Oryzias latipes: one gene and its partners. The protein of the gene in region 1 binds, or shares a complex with, the protein of each later gene. Links are inferred from orthologs where the notes say so. Each region holds a gene or a part of one and is shown on either strand. Other genes may lie near its edges.

Region 1 (5,861 bases):
TTTTATAAAGAAAAGACAAGATTCCACAGAGATTGATTGATGAGGTCAACAGCCAATCAGGATGCAGATCACAGTGCACCATAGAGAGTGAGAGAGAAAAATGCATGCAAAACGACACTGAAAAAAATGGCGAGGCTGCGAAAGAGGAACCGCGATATAGCGAGGGAACACTATTGCCGAAACACCCAGTTTGAAAATTCTGAATATTTTGTACATTTTTATGATTAATTATTTAAAAACCCTGATACTTTTAAGATGTTTAGACTTTTGTTAATGAAAACAAAAAATATATCCCATTGATCTAATTGTCCTTTGCTTATTAAAAAAAAGAAGATCTTTATTTTGGAAAAATACAAATTTACCAAAAATTTGGTGGATTTTTGTTACAATTTCTTATAAGAATATGTAAAACCAACAAGACTTTAACCCTTGTGCTGTCCTAGGCACTTTAACATTGGGAGTTGGGTCATCTAGACCCACTAGACAGTGCTCTGAACCTTTTTCCTTCAATGATTTGTGATCTTCACTGGTGTCCATGGATTACATGAAATCTTTCCATCTTTATCCACCTTTGTCATGGTAGAAATAACACGTCAATGTAAGGGTGGGGTCATCTAGGATAGCACAAGGGTTAAAATGACAAACGCAAAAAAATCCAAGAATTTTGAAGCAAAATTATTTCACTTTTTTATCCTCAAAAGAAGCATATTTCAAATATAATCCATGTTAAAGACCTTTAAAATAACTCAAACAGGGCAAACAAATGGTTAAAAAAGCAAGAAATTAGAAAAAATGGTAGCTCTAGTCCACTAAATCACTATCGAGCAAAAAGGAAGCCACATTTGATTGTAGTTCAGAGTCACTGTTGTCATGTGGGCCAAAATTCATCTACAGCAGACTGTTCTAAAACAGTTAAGTAAAGAAGTGCTTCCTGCTCAGATGAGTCCAACTGTGACATTTATGTAGTAATTTCTGTGCTAAACTGAGACCTTCCAGTGTGAAATCAGCCTTTAGTTTGAAGACCCACTCCGATCATCTTTTCATCTATTTTTTTTAAAATCATGATTATGCCGGGTTTTTTCTGCCAAAATCCAAAAACTTTGTTGTTTTTTAGAGCGGCAGTACTTCAGTAGAAATTCACCTTTGAGGTGTGGGTGGGAATGTTAGTATGGAGCAACCCCGCCCCCTCCCCCTCCCCGGAGAAATACAGGGATTTGATTAATTACACCTCAGAGATAAAAAAAGTTGTTTGAATTGAATTAAATTAAAAAATATACTCATAAAAGCAATTTTAATCTTAGCACATGAGAGCCCATGGTGACAGCGGTGCAACAGAAAAATATCAGAAATGGATTCTATGGTCCGCTTGGTTTGTGGTAAAATACACATTTTATTTTTAAGAAAAAAATGGGTCTGGGTTCTTATGGGTTAATTTTGTCTCTATATGTCCTCCATCCTAATAGAAATGCCACAAGCGTGTTGGAAGAGTTTTAAATAAAACATACTTTTTAACCCAACCATACGTACCTGCAGTATGTCACAACGTCACATCGTCTGTCTGGATTCCACAAAACTTACAGAAATATCTTTGTATATTGCTCAGATATACAAGTGTCCTGCTTTATGCTATTTTGTTTATTTTATTCAGAACACAGACAGTGGCAATAAAGTTGAATCTGATCTTAAATTGAGAGAACAAATATTTGAGCTGTTTGGAAATCTGCAGCACATCAAACTTAAAATCAGTTAATTTTCCAGGATAAAATGAGAAATTGCTGATATGTGATTTAGATTTTAAAATGAATATTTTCAGTTAAAAAATAAATCCTTTTGTGAAATTGGGATGAATTTGATGTATTTTCAGCTCGATGCGTCTCGTGTGTGTGTGTGCTGCTGTGCTGCAGGTGGATACAAACGATTGAATCCTTTATTATAATTCCTCAGGGCAAGTTTCAGCCGGTGGATCAAGTTGTTAAAGATGAAGACTTCCCTGCTTGCTCCAGGCTTCTCAGCTGCTCGTGTTCTTTTCTCCACATTGCAGAAGAGAAAGGTGAAGTTTGTATTGTTGCTGCGACTCAGGTTTATGCCACACACCTCACAAAATGTTGTTTTTGTCATTTAAGAGGTGGGGGGCTTAAAGTTTCACCGATACAGCCAAGAGAGGACCATGAACTGGTTAAAGAAAAAGGTGAAGAGTCAGACACGGGACCCTCAGTGTTTGGAAATCTAAGTGGAAAATGAGCATCCTTTTCTGTTGAAGGTGGAGAGAACAGCAGCGGCTCTGAAGACGAAAAATGTCTCTGTGGGAGAAGGAGTTAAATCCACAACATATATCAGAATCAAGTCAGAGTCTGAGGGCCGAGAAGGTATCTCCCCTTCAGTTCTCCTTTCTAATCTGTGTGGATTTTCACCAGTAGATGGCAGTAGAAGTGTGAACCTTTCAAATCATGAAAGAAAAACTTTTTTTTTTTAGCTCTCAGCAAAAAAGTTGAGAGCATGAAGGATTTTTCAGGATGAAAATGTATTTGTTTCTTTTTTTGTTGGACAGAAGACTATCTACGCTACGCTCATGGCCTGATATCAGAGTACATTAGTGAAGCGCTGAGCAAAGCCCTCCTCAAGCATTTGGGGTAAAAGAAGCATTTTAAACATCACCGTCGGTAACAAATGTGTTTTAACGCTGAACATGTTTGTTGTTGCACTTTAGGTTACCTGAGCTCACAAGTCCAAAGGAGGCGGAGCCTCCAGCTAAGGTATGATGGTGTGTAGTAAGTGTTGCTGGTTTTGCTCTGCATGCTGCTCTAACATTGCTGCAGGCCTCATAGGGACAATCCCCGTCTGCCTGCTTGCGCTTTGAAATGGTGGTGCTTTGGGCTGCAGCTTGAGGTTCATGCAGTCCTGTCTCTGGCTACGTTCACACTGCAGGGCTCAATGCTCAATTCCAATTTTTTTGAAAAAATCCGATTTTTTTTTTTGCAAGGCCGTTCACATTTCCAATTAAATGCGAACTTTTGTGATCTCCTGTGTGAACGTGAAATGACCCAGAAGTGACCCACATGCACAGAAGAGTACACAACCGTGAATGGCGTCACTCGTTGTTTGCTGAAGTAGCTAATGTTAAAAATGGATGTCAACAACAGTGTTGTCAACAGCGGAGCTCTTTTTGCATTATTACATTTATTTTCACAAAGGAGCCAGCACAATTACAATCTTCTCATTTTGAGAAGGCATTTGAGCCAGGATCGTCTGTAACCACTGTTGTGGAATGGGGATGTGTATGTGCTGGGACCGCGTGTGTGTGTGTCTGTGTGCGCGTGTGTGTGTGTAAGAGAGAGGAAAAGAGCGTGTGCAGCGAGGTAGAGAATGAGTGGGGGGGGGCAGTGGGGGCGCGCATTCATGTTGTGTGATACGAAGGAAGGAGAACGGTAATAAAAGAAGGCTCCCCCCAGCAGAAATGCCATTGACTCTTTATTAACCCGCTCTTGAGAATCTTAAGGTCCGAACGAGGAAGTGAACCCCGAAGGAGGATCCGCTTTCTGTCCCCCGCACTTCTGACCACGGTTGGACAGGGAAAAGAAGTCATGGCGGGAAAGGTTCAACACCACGCTCTGCCATTTCGCTGGAAATTTTTTTCAAAAACCGTCCGGTTGCGATAAGAGCCTTGAGTTTGGCCTGAATAGAGCTGTCACCCCAAATATGAATCCAATCGGTGACCTCGCTTCCCTTCCACTGACTGGTCTCAGCAGCATCGTCCGCCATGGTTGATGTTTATGATGACGTTTGTAACGTATCAGTGACGTACGGGTCGGATTCATGTGGCCTGGCCAGTTAGACGGTGGTGGCATTTGAAAAGATCGGATACGTATCGGATTCAGAACCACATACCCAAGTGGCCTAGGTCACATTTGAAAAGATCAGATACACGTCGCATAGGGGCAAAAAAAGCGGAATTGGGTCGTTTCAGCCTGCAGTGTGAACGTAGCCTCTGTGGCGCTCTTTATCATGAAAAGCATGTCTCACTTCCTCATTTGGCAGAAACGGAAACTTTCAGACAAACCGGTGGAGGCGGGAGAGGACTACACCAAATTCAACAGTGCAGACTTTGCAAGGAAAGTGAGTGAATGCGGAGCAGTTTGATTGAATGAAGGAAATCTTACAAATACTGATTCAGTTGTGCCTGCTTACTGCTTTCTTTAAGCTTTTGGTCAAAACTTTTTCTAAAAAAAACAATATTTACAGTTTATTACTAAACATGACTTTTTTTTCTGACTAATTCAAAAAAGCTACGTATATTTTACCAATTGTTTTATTTGTATTTTTTCCTTTTCTTTTTAAAGCCTCCCAAAAAGATGACAGCCGCTCAGAAAACTCTGGCCAAAGTGGACAAGAGCGGCATGAAGTCGATGTCATCCTTCTTCAGCCCAAAATCTAAATAAAGGAATTGTCTTCCCTTTTAATTTGTACATGCTGTTTGTAATAAAAGAAAGGAAATATTTCTGTTGTGGTGTTTTTTTATTTGTGATACTTAAAGGATCCATAAAGTTGATTTTTGACTGTTGTTTTTTTTTTTGAGTAAATCGCCAACATTCATTCATTCATTCATTCATCTTCTTGACCGTTTTTCCCTTTCGGGGTCACGGGGGTTGCCGGGGCCTATCCCGGCCACTTGGGCGTAGGCAAGGGATACCCTGGACTGGTCGCCAGTCTGTCGCCAACATTTATTTCAAACTAAATTGAAAGTCCCAGTCCAATCATCTTTTAAGATAAAAGCGTTCCCAGTGGTATTTTAATTAATGATGCCATTTTTAGCAGACATTCATAAAACCAGTGTTTTCTGGGACATGAACATGTTAAAAGCACAATTTTCGTCACAGTCTGGCCTTAAATCTGATATTTAGTTGGACTGCTTAATTGTGTTTTTCCTCAGGATTTCATTTGGCTGTTATGTCAAAGTTGGGCTACAACTCAAATGATTTAGCATTACCTAACCGAAGAGGCTTCCTTTCTCTGCCCTGAAGTGCAGAATGCTGTACTGCAAAATGAAAAGCCTCCACTGGGGGAGTAGAAAGGAAAAACACTGTCTTTGGTTTGCATTTTAATTACATTTAATGAAATCATGAGGAAAAACAGGAGAAAATAGATTGAAAGTAAGACATAAGTGCACTTCAGTACAAAGTTCTTTTTTCTGTTAGTGTTAAGAGCTCAAAGTCATTTTTTAATGCATCTTACACTTAAAAAACAAGAGTTTAAACACAAACGGCATTGCCAGATGCCACAGAGGTCTTCAGGTTAATGCAACAAAACTCTAAAGTTGAACTCTGATTAAATTAAGCAAGATTGGTTGTAATGGAGGCTCTGGAGTCGGAGGCGCTCAGATCAGTTAAGCCGTGAATTCTGCCAGTAGAATAAAACCCTTTTGTGCGAAGGGCTGAGCGCTTAAATGGAAGCCATTTTTGTGTTTTACAGTTGGCATTGACACTTTGAAGCAGAGGAGACGCTCAGGTTGAAAACTTTTAACTGTAATCGGGCAGAACTACAGAGCTGCCACAGTTTTGAACGTTTCCCTTAAATTGTTCAGCTCAAAAAGCCCTTTGACTGGAAGCATCCTTTCTTTTTTCTTTGTGCAGCATTTTCAAACCTCATGCCGTCCTTGTTAAAATCCTAATGTTCATGACTGAAATCAAGTGTGAAAATGTTAATTTGTTCAAAAAAATGTAAAAACTAAGGCCATATCTTTTATGTTCTTGTGCCACAGCAGAGAAAGGCGTTAAACAAAAGTAAAAAAAAAATGTTTCAGAGTCTCTGTGTCCTGGATTTGTGTCCCAGAGTGGAAATCCGAGCTCATTTTGCTCATTGAGAGT
Region 2 (6,234 bases), on another chromosome or scaffold:
AAAAACCAAACCTGACAAAAACACAAAGCGTAAGTGCTTTAAAGTGGGGCTGGGTTGATAAAATCGAGATAAATAAATTAATAATTGATCCCTAAACGTAGAAATCGATCTTTTATGCCTTTCCTTTTGTGAAAACCCATAGTCTGCTTGCTTGATGCTAACATATGATGGAATTTCCCATAGGACAGCTAATAGCTAACAGCTGTATAAACTCACAGGCAGGAATTTTTCAAACTCTTTAAACTTAAACCTTTTTTAAGTAACTATTTGCGGTCTAATGCAGTTTTTTGCTGCAATTTTCAAAAATAAAGTGTAACGGTGGCGAAACGGAAACACCCTCCAGAAGAGGCAGAACATTCATTTTTGCAATGAGCCAATTTAGGGCCTTTACAAGGTTATTGATCTGCATATTTTTGTTGAAGCTTATCCTGTTTACAATTTTACAGTATGTGAACTATGTCAGATTGATATGAATATCTTCAAAACATATACAGATTATTGTTGTATAGCCCTACTTTAAACACAGACTCCGATGAAAATGGTGTTCTTTACATGTTCTTGTAGCATTTTTTTCTGACGAGGACATGTATAAAGAAATTTGAGCTCCAGATTGTTCTTCTGTATCTAAATTGTTGTGAATTAGGACCAGATAAAAAAAAAGTGTTTTGTGAAATAGAAAATTGCTTTGCGTTCTCACCAATGGGGAGGGGAAGGGGGCCATGGTTGAACCGTGCCAACCGTCCCACCCACCACTCAGAGGCAATTTTGTAACCCTTGTGCTATCCTAGGCATTCCAACATTGGGAGTTGAGTCATCTAGACCCACTAGACAGTGCGCTGAGCATTTTTTCTTTAATTATGTGTGATCTTCACTGGTGTCCATGGATTACATGAAATCTTTCCACCTTTATCCACCTTTGTCATGGTAGGAAGAACACGTCAAAGTAAGGGTGGGGTCATCTAAGATAGCACAAGGGTTAATGAACTACTACTCTTCTTCAGAAACTATGTCTTTTTTTTCTTCTTTTGGCTGAAAACGACATCAGAATCAGAATCAGAGATACTTTATTGATACCACACGTGGGAAATTTGTTTGTCACCATAGCAACTGAGAGCAGAGGGAAAAAAAAGACTTAGAATTAAGTAAAAAAAAAAAAAAAAGCAAGAACAACAAAATGTAGCATAAATACAGACATCAAGGTATTATAGTTTAAAAAGCTATTTACAGACATAATCATACAGACATAATTAAGACATAATCTTAATTAAAAGATCGCTTTTATTTACATAAAACGATAGTGTGGCGTACCTCTTTAAGCTGCACTCCACTGTCCAGGGCGTACTGTATTAGCCCAATGGCGGTATCGTGTGAGAGCGCATTCAGGTTGTATTTTGTCCTATAAGTAAAAGCAAACATGAAGCTACGGTTTGTGAATCACTGAACAATGACCATGAGATCTGGACACGCCTTACCTTTGTAACATACTAGTGGAGATGGTGTTGGGTGAAAGAACATGCAAAGCCCAGCCAACATAACTTTTGGCTTCATCCAGGTTGTGGAAAAGTCTTTCTCTTTCTTCTTCTGTCAGCGTCTTTGAATCTGGAAATAAGGGCAAAGTTAAAAAATGGGGGAAACGTTCAAACATTTTTCGAAATGGTCAAGAAAGTTGTGCATACTTGATTAGAAGAAAGAAGGAAAACCTGGTGAAATAGCGCTTTGGGATTTTATCTAAAATGTAAAGCGCATTCTAAATAAAATTTATTATTATTATTATTAAATGTGGGCATTAAATAAACGCAGAGGAACATGTAAATTCATCTAAGCATTGTGTTCTATACTTAGAACTGTTAAAAGTCAAGAAGAGAGTCTGCATTTTATTTTGTTACAAGATTCAAGTCAATTTTACTTACTTATATAGCCCAATATTACAACAATATTCATCTCAATGGGCTTCAAACGGGCACTTCATGTAATAAACATGAATCACAAAGAACATAAAGTCATAGAATTCAATAGGTATTGGCTTAACTAAACAGACTAAACTAAACTGGGCACCACTCCCTTTAGACCCTCCTTCACTGTAAGGAAAAATTCCAGGGGAAAAAAACAGATTCCGGGGAAAAAAGAAGAAGACGACTCAGGGGTGTCCATATGAAGGAGGGATCCTCCCCCAGGACGGACAGGTGATGTACCACAATTCTTAGAGAAGAATAAACATATCTAACTCTGCAAGATGGATTAGAGTCCCAGACAGGAGAAGCAGAGGAATCGATTTATTTCAAGCAATCAAAAAGAAAAATACTAAATACAAACAAAAGAGATATATGTTAATATATGAAAGTCCCACTCCAATCTTTTGACCCATTGTAAAAGCGTTCCCAGTGGTCTTTTAGTTATAATTATGCCCTTTTTAGCCAAAACCCAAAAACGAAACTTCAATTAGGTTCGATTCCCAGGGTGTGCAATGTACTTTACCCGGTGTAAGTCACTGGGCAAGACCGTTTGTGCTGCTGCCCAACTATGTAACCACGAAGTCTGGGTCCCCTTGTTCCAGTTCCCAGTACGGATAGAATACAGGGGGTCAGGAAGGGCATCCGGTGTCAATCACTCTGTCTAACCATTTGTTAAACCAGTTAAAGCTGATTCCCTAAGTGGATTTGCCGAAAGGCCTTGAAGACCACAATGTTGCAGGAGTTTGTACAGGAAGTGGTACAACTAAAGATAAGAGCTGGGGCAGAATATGAATGAGATGGGCAAATATATTTGATTTTGTTAAGAAAATATATGAAAACTGGTTGTTGTTCAAGTGGAACTGGAAGGATTAAATAATTCCAAGGATGAAACCCTGGCTCTTAATCTGAAAGGAGGGGACGACTGAGGACAAGGGGAAATAATGGTCAACACCGTTGTACAGGTGTGAACACACCTAGACCGCCAATGTAACAGAAGAACCAGTAGTACCTGCAACTTTCAAGTCCTTCAGCTCCTGTTTTTTAGACACTGGACAGAAACATATTCCATACACCATGGGTCCTAGATGAAAACAAGAGCACTGTGATAAAACGCACACAAGTAAACATACCTTCCTAAAACTTTAATGACAAGCTAGCATACCCAGCACAGGCCCCCTGCCCGCCTCGTCAATCCCCAGACAGCAGTCCTCCGTCCTGCAGATGTCAGGGATCTGGGAGGAAAGCCGGCAGCTGACAGTGTTATCTGCTTCAAACGGACCCAGGTCCATGACTACCCACGGCGAGAGTTTTCAAACTAAACTACAAACCCACACGATGAATTCTACAAATTCTAAGCGAATGGTCTTTCCTGATACGATTACTGAACGCAACTACTAGCTAGCGGCTAACTGCTTCTTCTGTGGTCGAACTGTAGAGTTTGTTTTATCAGTACAATAAGAACGCAGGAGTCGCGGTTCTCACAGTAAAACGCTTTAGATGAAATACGGATATAGAAGGAAGATTCAACGTTCTAACTTGTTTTCTTTGGAGCAGGTTTGGCGCCGCGGATATGACGTCAAAAAATAATTTGTTTATCCGGTGGCTTCAAAAGGACGTGCCGCCACCTGCTGGACTGGAGACAGACCTGCAGTCAAAATGATTTTAAACATTTTGATTCAGCAACAAACAAATCTGAAAACAAAAGTAGAAAAAGAATCCCAATAAATACATAAACAAATAGCTATGAAAGGTTAAACATTTTTTAAAGTATACAGTCAATGTTCATTACATATCTGTTATTTTTAATAGAGCTACAGTAACAAGGCAATTTCCCCTTTGTGGATCGATAAACTCTATTCTATTATTTTCTATTCTATTCTATTCTATTCTAAAACTACAAATAAATTAACGAATAAATAAATAACAACACTGGAAATGTGACAACAGTTGTGCAAAAATAAAATATATTTTGGTGTACTATACCACTTCATGCAATTTTAGAGTTCAGTGTTACATGGAGAAACAGAGCAAAAATAAATAAAACAAAAACAGCTACAACTGAAAGGATAAGCAAGTTATGATCTAAAGATTATACGGAAATCTAATTTTGTGTGAATTGGAATATCGTAAGACGTGTTGAGGTGGTTAAAAAATGTTTTGAAAGAATAAGAAACTTTTCCCTGTACATATTTAGCTGCTTTCTGGCTAAATCTGCCTCCCTCTAAGTTCACACTGTGCATGTTAGCTTATTTGTTGATTTTAAATTGCCCGTGGCTGGGAGGGTGTATGGTTTTGTGGCTCAGTTTGGCACTGCTGAAGACTGGCAGCCTGTCTGTGGTTTGAGTCTGCAATATATCTGCTTGCAGACAGGAGGACTCAATCTCTGCAGGCTTGCAGCAGGAACATTAGGCAGAAAAATCAGCTTGATAAAAATCCTAATAATAAGACAAAAACACAAAAACATTGTAAAGACTCCATTGGGCAAAAAAGACCAAAACAGTCTTTTAACAGTTTGCTATATTTTTCATTTTATGTGCAGAGGTTCAAACAATTATGGGGAAGCATTTAAAAAGAGGAGTTCTCCTGCTCTCAAAACTTTATATTTGTGCACCATAAAATTTGCTACACCTTTTAACTTTCCTTTTCCATCTATCCACTTTCTAAACCCACTTGGTCCACTTTTGGGGTTTCCAGAGGTAATCGCAGCTACTTCCTGGTGAAGCCAGGATGATTCACACAGAGATGAACAGCGTTCACATTCACACCTAGTGGCTATTTGGAGTCACAAAGGAACTTAGTTCCTTAGCATAGTTTAGACTACAGGAGGAAGCCGGAGTGCCTGGAGAATATCTATGCACGGACAGGACGAACATGCAAACTCAACATAGAAGGGACCCACTGGAATTCAAACCAGGGACCTCTGTGATGCAAGAGTGCTGACCTCTACCCCACTGTCACAACCTGAAGGCCCGTACACACCGGGACGAATATTCGCCAGGCGTTATTCGCCAGCGTTTTTCGCCACGTTTTTTGTGTTCACACCCAGGCGATTTTCGCTGACGATGAGTGGAGTGAACATGCAATTTCATTCCCTGACATTAGATGGCGCTTAATGTAAAACAGAAATACTCCTGTACACAAGGTGGCGCTGCGCAACTTTACGCTTCTGAAAGTCGCTTTTCACTCAGAAGAAGAGAGCAAGTATTTACACGCTTGTCAGAATCAAACAAAGAAAACATGAATATTTCAAGCACCAGTAGCTCCAACTGGTGCTTGGTTCGGGGATATTTTAGAATGTCCGTCATTATTGCTTCGCGGCTGTGTGTAGACGCTACTTGGCGTCTATCTTCTTCGCTGGTATGTGTGCTCAGCAAGGCAGTTTTGTGTTTGAGCGCCCCCAAGTTGTGTTTTACTGTAACTTCAGAAGCTCCAGACACGTGAGCAAAAGCGCCATTCTCATTGGTCGAGTAGATTTCGACGCGACGCGTCGAAAAAAAAAAACGAACCCGAGGCGTTTTTTTTTTTGACGCTTTAACGCCTGGCGTTTTTTCGCGTCGGTGTGCACACTCTCGTTGGTGCCCTTTGTTTAGTCACGAGGCGTTAAACGTCGGCGAAAATCGCCGGCGAAATTCGTCCCGGTGTGAACAGGCCTTAACTTTACTTTTCTGACCTTTAATTTTTTAACAGATTTGAGAACCAAGCCAAAATCTACTGGGTTAGCGTCACAATTCAATAAGTTTATGTTGTTTTTGTTATGAACCAGTTAAATGTGACCAAGTTTAGTCCTAGGAGAAACTGTGACATTTATATTTTTGATGTTGTTCTGTGCCAAGCTCCTTGCTCCACTCCATTCCGATGCATCAACTTGCAAACAAAAAAGTCTTTGTCCTCCTCATCCCAGCTGGCATCTGGCTCAAAACTGTTACCGCTGGATAGCTCCAATATTGCTCGCCATTCTAAGTTTTATTCTAAGTTGGGGGTGTGAAAGCGTGTTAATAGGTGGATGATGGGAAGGGAACAGACTTACTCTCTACCAACATTTCCGCCCACAATGTAGAGGCAAGTTTCTCCTAAACTCCTGCCGCTTTGCAGAAACAATGTCATAGAAAGCGGCACAGGTTTTGGGATTTTGGCTAAAAGGTCATAATTATTATTAAAGGACCACTGGGAATGCTTTTACAATAGATCAAAAGATGACTGGAGTGGGACCAAAATGTCAATAAACATAGTGCTTTTAATGTGCATTTTGTTTGTGGAAACATATTTGGTTAATTTAAAGTGT
Region 3 (6,047 bases), on another chromosome or scaffold:
AAATATTAAGATGTGAAAAACCACTGAGACCAATTACAGTCACAAGCACAGGCCTTTCAGCTGAAAAGACTCCAAACTGTTTCAACAGTCAGTTCATCTGTGACTATATTGTTCATGTCTAGAAGATAAAAAAAATAACTTGCTTTTAGACATCTTAATGTAGCATAAAACTGATCCTATACTTCTGTGAAATCCTTTTGTCCAATTTTCATTTTATTTTGACATTTAACGAACTAGAAATCAAAATTAAATTTGCCGTTTTGTAAAGTTAACTATAAAAAGAATTGTATCTAGCAAGTCTTTCCCTTAATATTTGACGTTTCTGTTGAGCGGTGTGTCTTCTGCTGTTAAAAACTCACCCCTTGTTTTCTGTTTTCCAAAGAAGAACGGTTAGGAAATCACTCCCTGAAGATCCTCGTCCCGGATGATGTTGGGGAATTGCAGACAGAACTTCCCTTTAACTTACTTAGCGCTGCCGTCTTTGCAGCTACCATTGGACAAAGTTAAGTCCATCCCCTCTGAACACAGTAGCTGGAACCAACTGGAGTACAAGTATAAAAAAAGAAAGTTAGAAGAAAGCTTGGGAACTGCGTCACTATCAGTGTTGCTGTTGGTGGCTACATGTGTTTGCTTCAGAAAATCCCACTAACTCAGATTTTTCCCTCCAGTTTATCAAATGTTTTTATCATGGCAAATCATGAAAGTGGTTAAATCATTACTTAAAATGTGCGGGTAAATGCATTGGAAAAGTCATTACCAGATGAAGCTAGTAAACTGATTGTTGTTAAACTTAATTGCAAAATGTTAGAAATGATGCTAAGACTATTCGTGCTTGCTGTGTGAAAAAAAAGTCTACTTAAAAACTCAAATATTCTACTTTCCTTCACATTACTGGCAAGTAAACAACAAATGTAAAAAACATTACTGAAGGCAATAAAGCAATTTGCCTTTAGACACATAACATTTCAAATGTCTCTTTTCAGGCTCACAGAAATCTTTTAGTTCTTATTTTTTTCCCCTTTTCTTCCAAGAAAAAAGAATCATATCATGTCTATCAGAATCTTTGTATTTTGAATGCACTGCTCTAATGAGGTTTTTCCACAAATTCAAAGTCAAAGAGCCGTGGAGGTCATGGTGAAGGCATGTGACATTGTTGAGCCAGTTCAATTTTTGAGATTCATAGGGATGATTATTTTCACAAAATACTTTTTTTATGATCATTTGACTTTTCACATCAAGTCTTGCTTCAATGAGGTCATCTGAACCTTTTCTTCCACAATTATCCATTTTTGGTTCCAGTAGCTGTGACAGAAAGCTGTGTTGTGTGATTGCCAGAAATACATTTCCAGAAAAGAGATATTTAAATTTTATTTATAAAAAAACGTGTCTATATGAAATGTTCCTGTGTAGATTTGAGCAGTGAGTTTTTGTTTTTTTTGGTCTTTTTAAGGGCATGTGTAAAAGACTGGTAAGCTGACCTGGTTGTCTTCATCCCATGGTGGCTGGAATAGGCTCCAGGGGCCCATGACCCTGTCAGGACAAAACAGGTACTGATAATCATCCAATCTAATCAACAAATCAACCAATAACATTTTTTTTATTAAACATCTCAGAGAAGTTCATCATTGTATACTTTCCTTTTCATTTATGAACCACCAGAGCATCCGTGTAAGTGTTTTATGTTCAAACGTCTTTGTGATCAGGTGGACATTTTACAGCTGAAGAGTCAAAAAAGGAAAATTCTAGCAGCAAACATGGATTTTCCCTTCTCCCCATCTAATAGTTGAGTAAACTTTGCTTCAATTAAATGGTCTTGTAGCAAATCTCTCATTAAAGAATACATTAATAAAGAAATCTAAGCTCAAAATTACATTTCTGAGTTGTCTTATTTAATTTTTTGCGCATCAGGATCAGACAAAAATTACCATTGGAAAACTTCTAGTTGGAATGTAAAAGCTACACTTGGCAGGTCACTGGCTCCCTGCTCTGCTCCTTTCTGATGGATCCATTTGTAAACAACTTGATACACATACGTCTTTGTTTTCCTTGTCTGAACTGGCGTCTGGCTCAAAACTGTATGACTGGATGGCTCCAATATTTTAAAATAGAACACAATATTTGTGATGTTTAGATTTTTCAAACTCCTAAATGACATTTTTCTATTAATTTGAGTATTTAATTGTATGTTTTTATAGTTCTGCATGCCAGTTAAACTAGTCGTAAGAAAATACACCAAAAAGAATACAATGAAACAGATTTTATTGATTTTTCAAACTTAAATTAAAGGCCTTGGAAATAAGTCAGAATAGTTTTAAACAACAGTTTTATGTTATATAAGATATTAAACACGCAAATTATTGAACGTTTGATATGAATGAATTCAAATATCAAGTCTGAAGGCGAAAACACGAGGCAAAGCATTAAAACAAAACAGCTGAAGTAGAGCAGAACAGTAACCACCAGGGGGAGACATCTGTTCGCAAAGGAGAAAAAACCCGCCAAAACAGAATTCAGCGTAGAAGAAGTGACATTCACCGTCCAATCACGAACGGCTCCCTAAACCTACCCGGAAGATCAACTTTTCATGTCACACTCTTATATGCAATACAGTCGCCATAAAGGTACTGGTAATCTTATCGTTTCTTTGTCCACTCCGGATTAAATGCTGCAAACAGTCACTGTTATTAAAAGCGTTTAACTGCAGGAGCGTCGAATACTGTTCGATTAAATGTATTGGTGAAAAGCTTTAGACACAAAGGTTCAAACACACTTCTCCAAAAACACTGCTTCACACATATTTAATTTAAGAGCACGCGCATTTTTTTACTGCTAAATTTAAGTGCGTATATCATATTTTCCCGTAATAATTAAATATATACTTAATAAGTATGAACTTAATGGTCGAAATAAGGTAAAACAACTATGGTCTTAAATTAAGGCAAAATGGTTGTAAAGGCTTTAAATACATCAAATAATACTCTAAATCTTAATGAATTAAATTTTTAGAGCAATTTACCAGGATTTTATCAGCTAATTAGGAGGTTATAGATACTGTACAAGAAGAGGTGCATCTTGATTGATCATTTCTTTATGTAAATTAATTTCATTCATTAAATAATTTTTAATTATTTATGTTTTAAAAATGCAAATGGTACTTGACTAAGCAGACACTATTCATTAGAGATAAAATAAGTCATAATGAAGGAAATAAAGTGAAATGATATAAAAACCCTGCAAAATCTGACATTAAACTACCCTCTTAGAATCAGAAGTACATAATTTATCCCACACCGGGGAAATTTGTGTGTTACTGTAGCAGTAAACATATGAGAAAATGGTATAATATAAAAACAATAATTAAAAAAAAAATGTAGCAGAAATGTAAACAAATAAGGCGGTATAACATTAACTACGACTTGCTGTGGCAAGTTTATTTTAATGTGATAATATTTTCAAAGCTTATAGCTTTTAAATAGATGCCCGTGTAATTGTTAATGATTGTAGAAAAAGAAGGTAAAGGTTACTAATAAAGGTATTTTGAGTGGATGCATAAATATGTCTTTTTTTCTTTCTTGTTACGTTGCTGCAAGATGTCCTGTCACTCCAGCGTCACTCATCTCCACGTGTCTCCTGTGGGACAGGCAGAGCGAGTCCCGGTCCATCTCCTCCCTTGTGAGATTGAACACAATGGGCCTGCCCAGGTCTCACAGTACTTTACTGCAACCATGAAAGATCACAAAGGAGGTACTTGGAATTTTGTCTGAAATCTAAAACCTCTAAGACCTGTAAACACTCCTGAAGTAAGGGGCACTAGCAAAGCCACGACAGGATTGCAAAACAAAGAGAAATGACACCAAAATTATGTCCAGTAGCAATTTTTACTGGTTTGCAGAAAACTATCTTGCGCAATATTGTTTTCTGATTTTTATGTATTTTTTACAATGAGTGATTGTGGGATTTTAAAACAGCAAATACCGTAAATAGCTGCATTTAGCATTGTAAATATAATGGACTTTCTTATAACAGTCAAGGCCGTCTCATTCAGAGGACGCGGGCTGAAAGGTCAGGAGATCTGCTGTCCAGCAGGATACACAGGCCTGGTACTTAAAGACACCAACAAGCCTGGCTCTGACCAGGAGGTAAGCACCTCCCATGACATGTTTCAGAACTAAAAAAGGAATACTGTCACAAGCTGAAAAATGTTTTTTCATGCTGTGGCATGAAGCATAGGTCTAACGATTCTGATGCTTCAATGACTTTGTATCTCTCAGGACAGGATAGTTAGAGTCTCCTCTGTGTTTGATAAACTGACCTACTGGAATCTGGACAATCCTCCAACCTCTGATGACACTGTGGTGATGGCCATGGATTGGCCGGAACTTGCTGAGGCGGTAAGAACATGTCGCAGTTGACCTCAAATCTATAGTTATACCAATCTGCTCCTTACAATAAATCACTGTGATCAAAAACAAACTAAAGAAAATGCATTCTAGTGAAATGTTTTTTTAGTTTTCCTCTTTTTTTATGCTCAAAATCAGTCCCAGCGAGTTTTTCTGTAAATATCTTCTAGGGCACACATGCTGCTTTAGACTTCAATCATGAGTACACAAATATATTTAGCAAACATTAACATTTTAAATAAAATGTAATCATTTTAGTAAATATATCAAATTTAACTCATGTTTTTTTGTTTCTCATTTTCTGTCCAACTGGAGGATCACTTGCATTTGCTGATTCTTTGTCTTTTTTCCAGATACACGAGCCAATAGACGAGTGACGTGATGGAAATACTATTTTAATGGGCCGGCAGACAAATGTCATATTGACATGTGAAATGCACCTTTTATCCCACATGTTTTTCAACCACCAACCTTATAAAACGCTCTGCTATGGCAGAGCGATCAGTTACATAGAGCAGTGTTAACGAAATGATACCTGAATGAGGTTTGTGTTTGTTTGTACATAAATAAAAAACGTAAAGACTTGCAAAAGTGAAATGTTTGATCCTCTGTAACACAACTAACTTTTACATGTTTAACTGGACGGCGTTTATTCACAAGATAACACTGGTAGCCATGAAAGCATTACTGTAACATTGTGTCATAAACACAAAGTCCTATAAGATGAAAAATGATTGGCTTTGACTTGACACATTTCACAGAACGAAGCCTACAACATGGAAACTATTGACACTGTGGTTCTGTCAAAAAGTTTGAGAACAAAAATTGAAAGAAAAAGAAACAGCCTGGATACATGTAAACCATGAGGGGAGTCATTATGAAGGAACTATTTGGAATTTAGTAAAAAGAAATTCCATCCATCCACTTTCCAAAACCGCTTTGCTCCTGTTGGGTTCAGGAGGTTGCTAGAGTCTAACCTGCAGTATAATTACACCTAAAGAACAATTTGGAGTCACCAATAAAGCTATGAGGCATTTTTTTGGACTGTGGGAGGAAGCTGGAGTGCTTAGAGAAAACTCCACACAGAAAAATCCCAGCTGGGCTTTGAACTAAAGCCGTCTCACTGTGAGGAGAAGAGTGCTAACCACTACACCCCCCAACATTCCCTTTATTGAGTGATTGTACTGCACGTTAAAAAAGAGGAATAATCTCTACACCAACACTTCATTAGACTGATAAAACAAGTCAAAGGGCCCAGGTTAGTTAGGTACACATAGAACATCACATACAGTTAATCCAGTACAGAAATTGATGGATGAAAATCTAAACCCCCACCATCTCACTCACTTAAAAACCACAAAGCATTTACTTGTTTTAGTTTCATCTTGTAGAAGTAACAGTACAACATTGAAGGGATGTCATCAGTGAAACTTTGGCAGACATTCACACTGACAGGACAAACAGTCTCCTCTAACTGGTGACAGTAACTATTGAATCATCTACAAAGACAGGTTGTTTTTTGTATTACAAATCTAAACTTTAAAACATGTCCAAAAATATTACAAAACAATCGCACAACAGTACAAGTATCAAATCAGGTTCTGACAGATGACATTCAAATATGTAAGTACAGTGTAATAAATGATA

What was found. The genes of interacting proteins can lie anywhere in the genome.
Region 2: the proteins of rnaseh2b (region 1) and rnaseh2a are in contact, whole or in part, in a crystal structure (PDB 3PUF), measured with the Homo sapiens proteins. The link is inferred for Oryzias latipes from reciprocal best matches to the Homo sapiens genes RNASEH2B and RNASEH2A. Residues at the interface, in NP_078846.2 of Homo sapiens: His16, Phe18, Lys39, Asn42, Gly48, Ala49, Ile50, Val63, Lys64, Val65, Phe66, Lys67, His70, Phe74, Val79, His86, Phe87, Val183, Tyr211, Gly214, Leu215, Asp218, Tyr219; in NP_006388.2 of Homo sapiens: Val227, Phe228, Ile253, Trp254, Glu255, Ser284, His285, Tyr287, Phe288, Arg291, Gly292, Leu293, Glu294, Ser295, Ala296, Thr297, Ser298, Leu299.
Region 3: the proteins of rnaseh2b (region 1) and rnaseh2c are in contact, whole or in part, in a crystal structure (PDB 3PUF), measured with the Homo sapiens proteins. The link is inferred for Oryzias latipes from reciprocal best matches to the Homo sapiens genes RNASEH2B and RNASEH2C. Residues at the interface, in NP_078846.2 of Homo sapiens: Arg14, Gln15, His16, Val17, Phe18, Leu19, Val20, Ser21, Glu22, Leu24, Leu35, Met36, Phe37, Val38, Lys39, Leu52, Glu62, Lys64, Phe66, Glu68, His70, His71, Ser72, Trp73, Phe74, Ile75, Asn76, Gln77, Ser78, Val79; in NP_115569.2 of Homo sapiens: Ile9, His12, Arg13, Val14, His15, Leu16, Ser18, Ala27, Thr28, Leu29, His30, Leu31, Leu32, Pro33, Cys34, Glu35, Val36, Ala37, Val38, Asp39, Gly40, Pro41, Ala42, Pro43, Val44, Gly45, Phe48, Phe63, Val75, Pro77.

The regions. Positions count from the first base shown.
Region 1 is NC_019879.2:9,575,808-9,581,668, reverse strand, and holds the end of rnaseh2b (ribonuclease H2 subunit B), read left to right. Parts: intron 1-1,944; coding exon 1,945-2,050; intron 2,051-2,123; coding exon 2,124-2,188; intron 2,189-2,260; coding exon 2,261-2,366; intron 2,367-2,548; coding exon 2,549-2,630; intron 2,631-2,707; coding exon 2,708-2,753; intron 2,754-4,035; coding exon 4,036-4,113; intron 4,114-4,337; coding exon 4,338-4,436; 3' UTR 4,437-4,495; downstream 4,496-5,861. UniProt on the Homo sapiens protein: Non catalytic subunit of RNase H2, an endonuclease that specifically degrades the RNA of RNA:DNA hybrids. Participates in DNA replication, possibly by mediating the removal of lagging-strand Okazaki fragment RNA primers during DNA replication.
Region 2 is NC_019859.2:10,613,846-10,620,079, forward strand, and holds the start of rnaseh2a (ribonuclease H2 subunit A), read right to left. Parts: upstream 3,541-6,234; 5' UTR 3,242-3,540; coding exon 3,115-3,241; intron 3,034-3,114; coding exon 2,962-3,033; intron 1,600-2,961; coding exon 1,473-1,599; intron 1,397-1,472; coding exon 1,309-1,396; intron 1-1,308. UniProt on the Homo sapiens protein: Catalytic subunit of RNase HII, an endonuclease that specifically degrades the RNA of RNA:DNA hybrids. Participates in DNA replication, possibly by mediating the removal of lagging-strand Okazaki fragment RNA primers during DNA replication.
Region 3 is NC_019868.2:12,025,491-12,031,537, forward strand, and holds rnaseh2c (ribonuclease H2 subunit C), read left to right. Parts: upstream 1-2,507; 5' UTR 2,508-2,621; intron 2,622-3,590; coding exon 3,591-3,744; intron 3,745-4,026; coding exon 4,027-4,139; intron 4,140-4,271; coding exon 4,272-4,391; intron 4,392-4,753; coding exon 4,754-4,777; 3' UTR 4,778-4,991; downstream 4,992-6,047.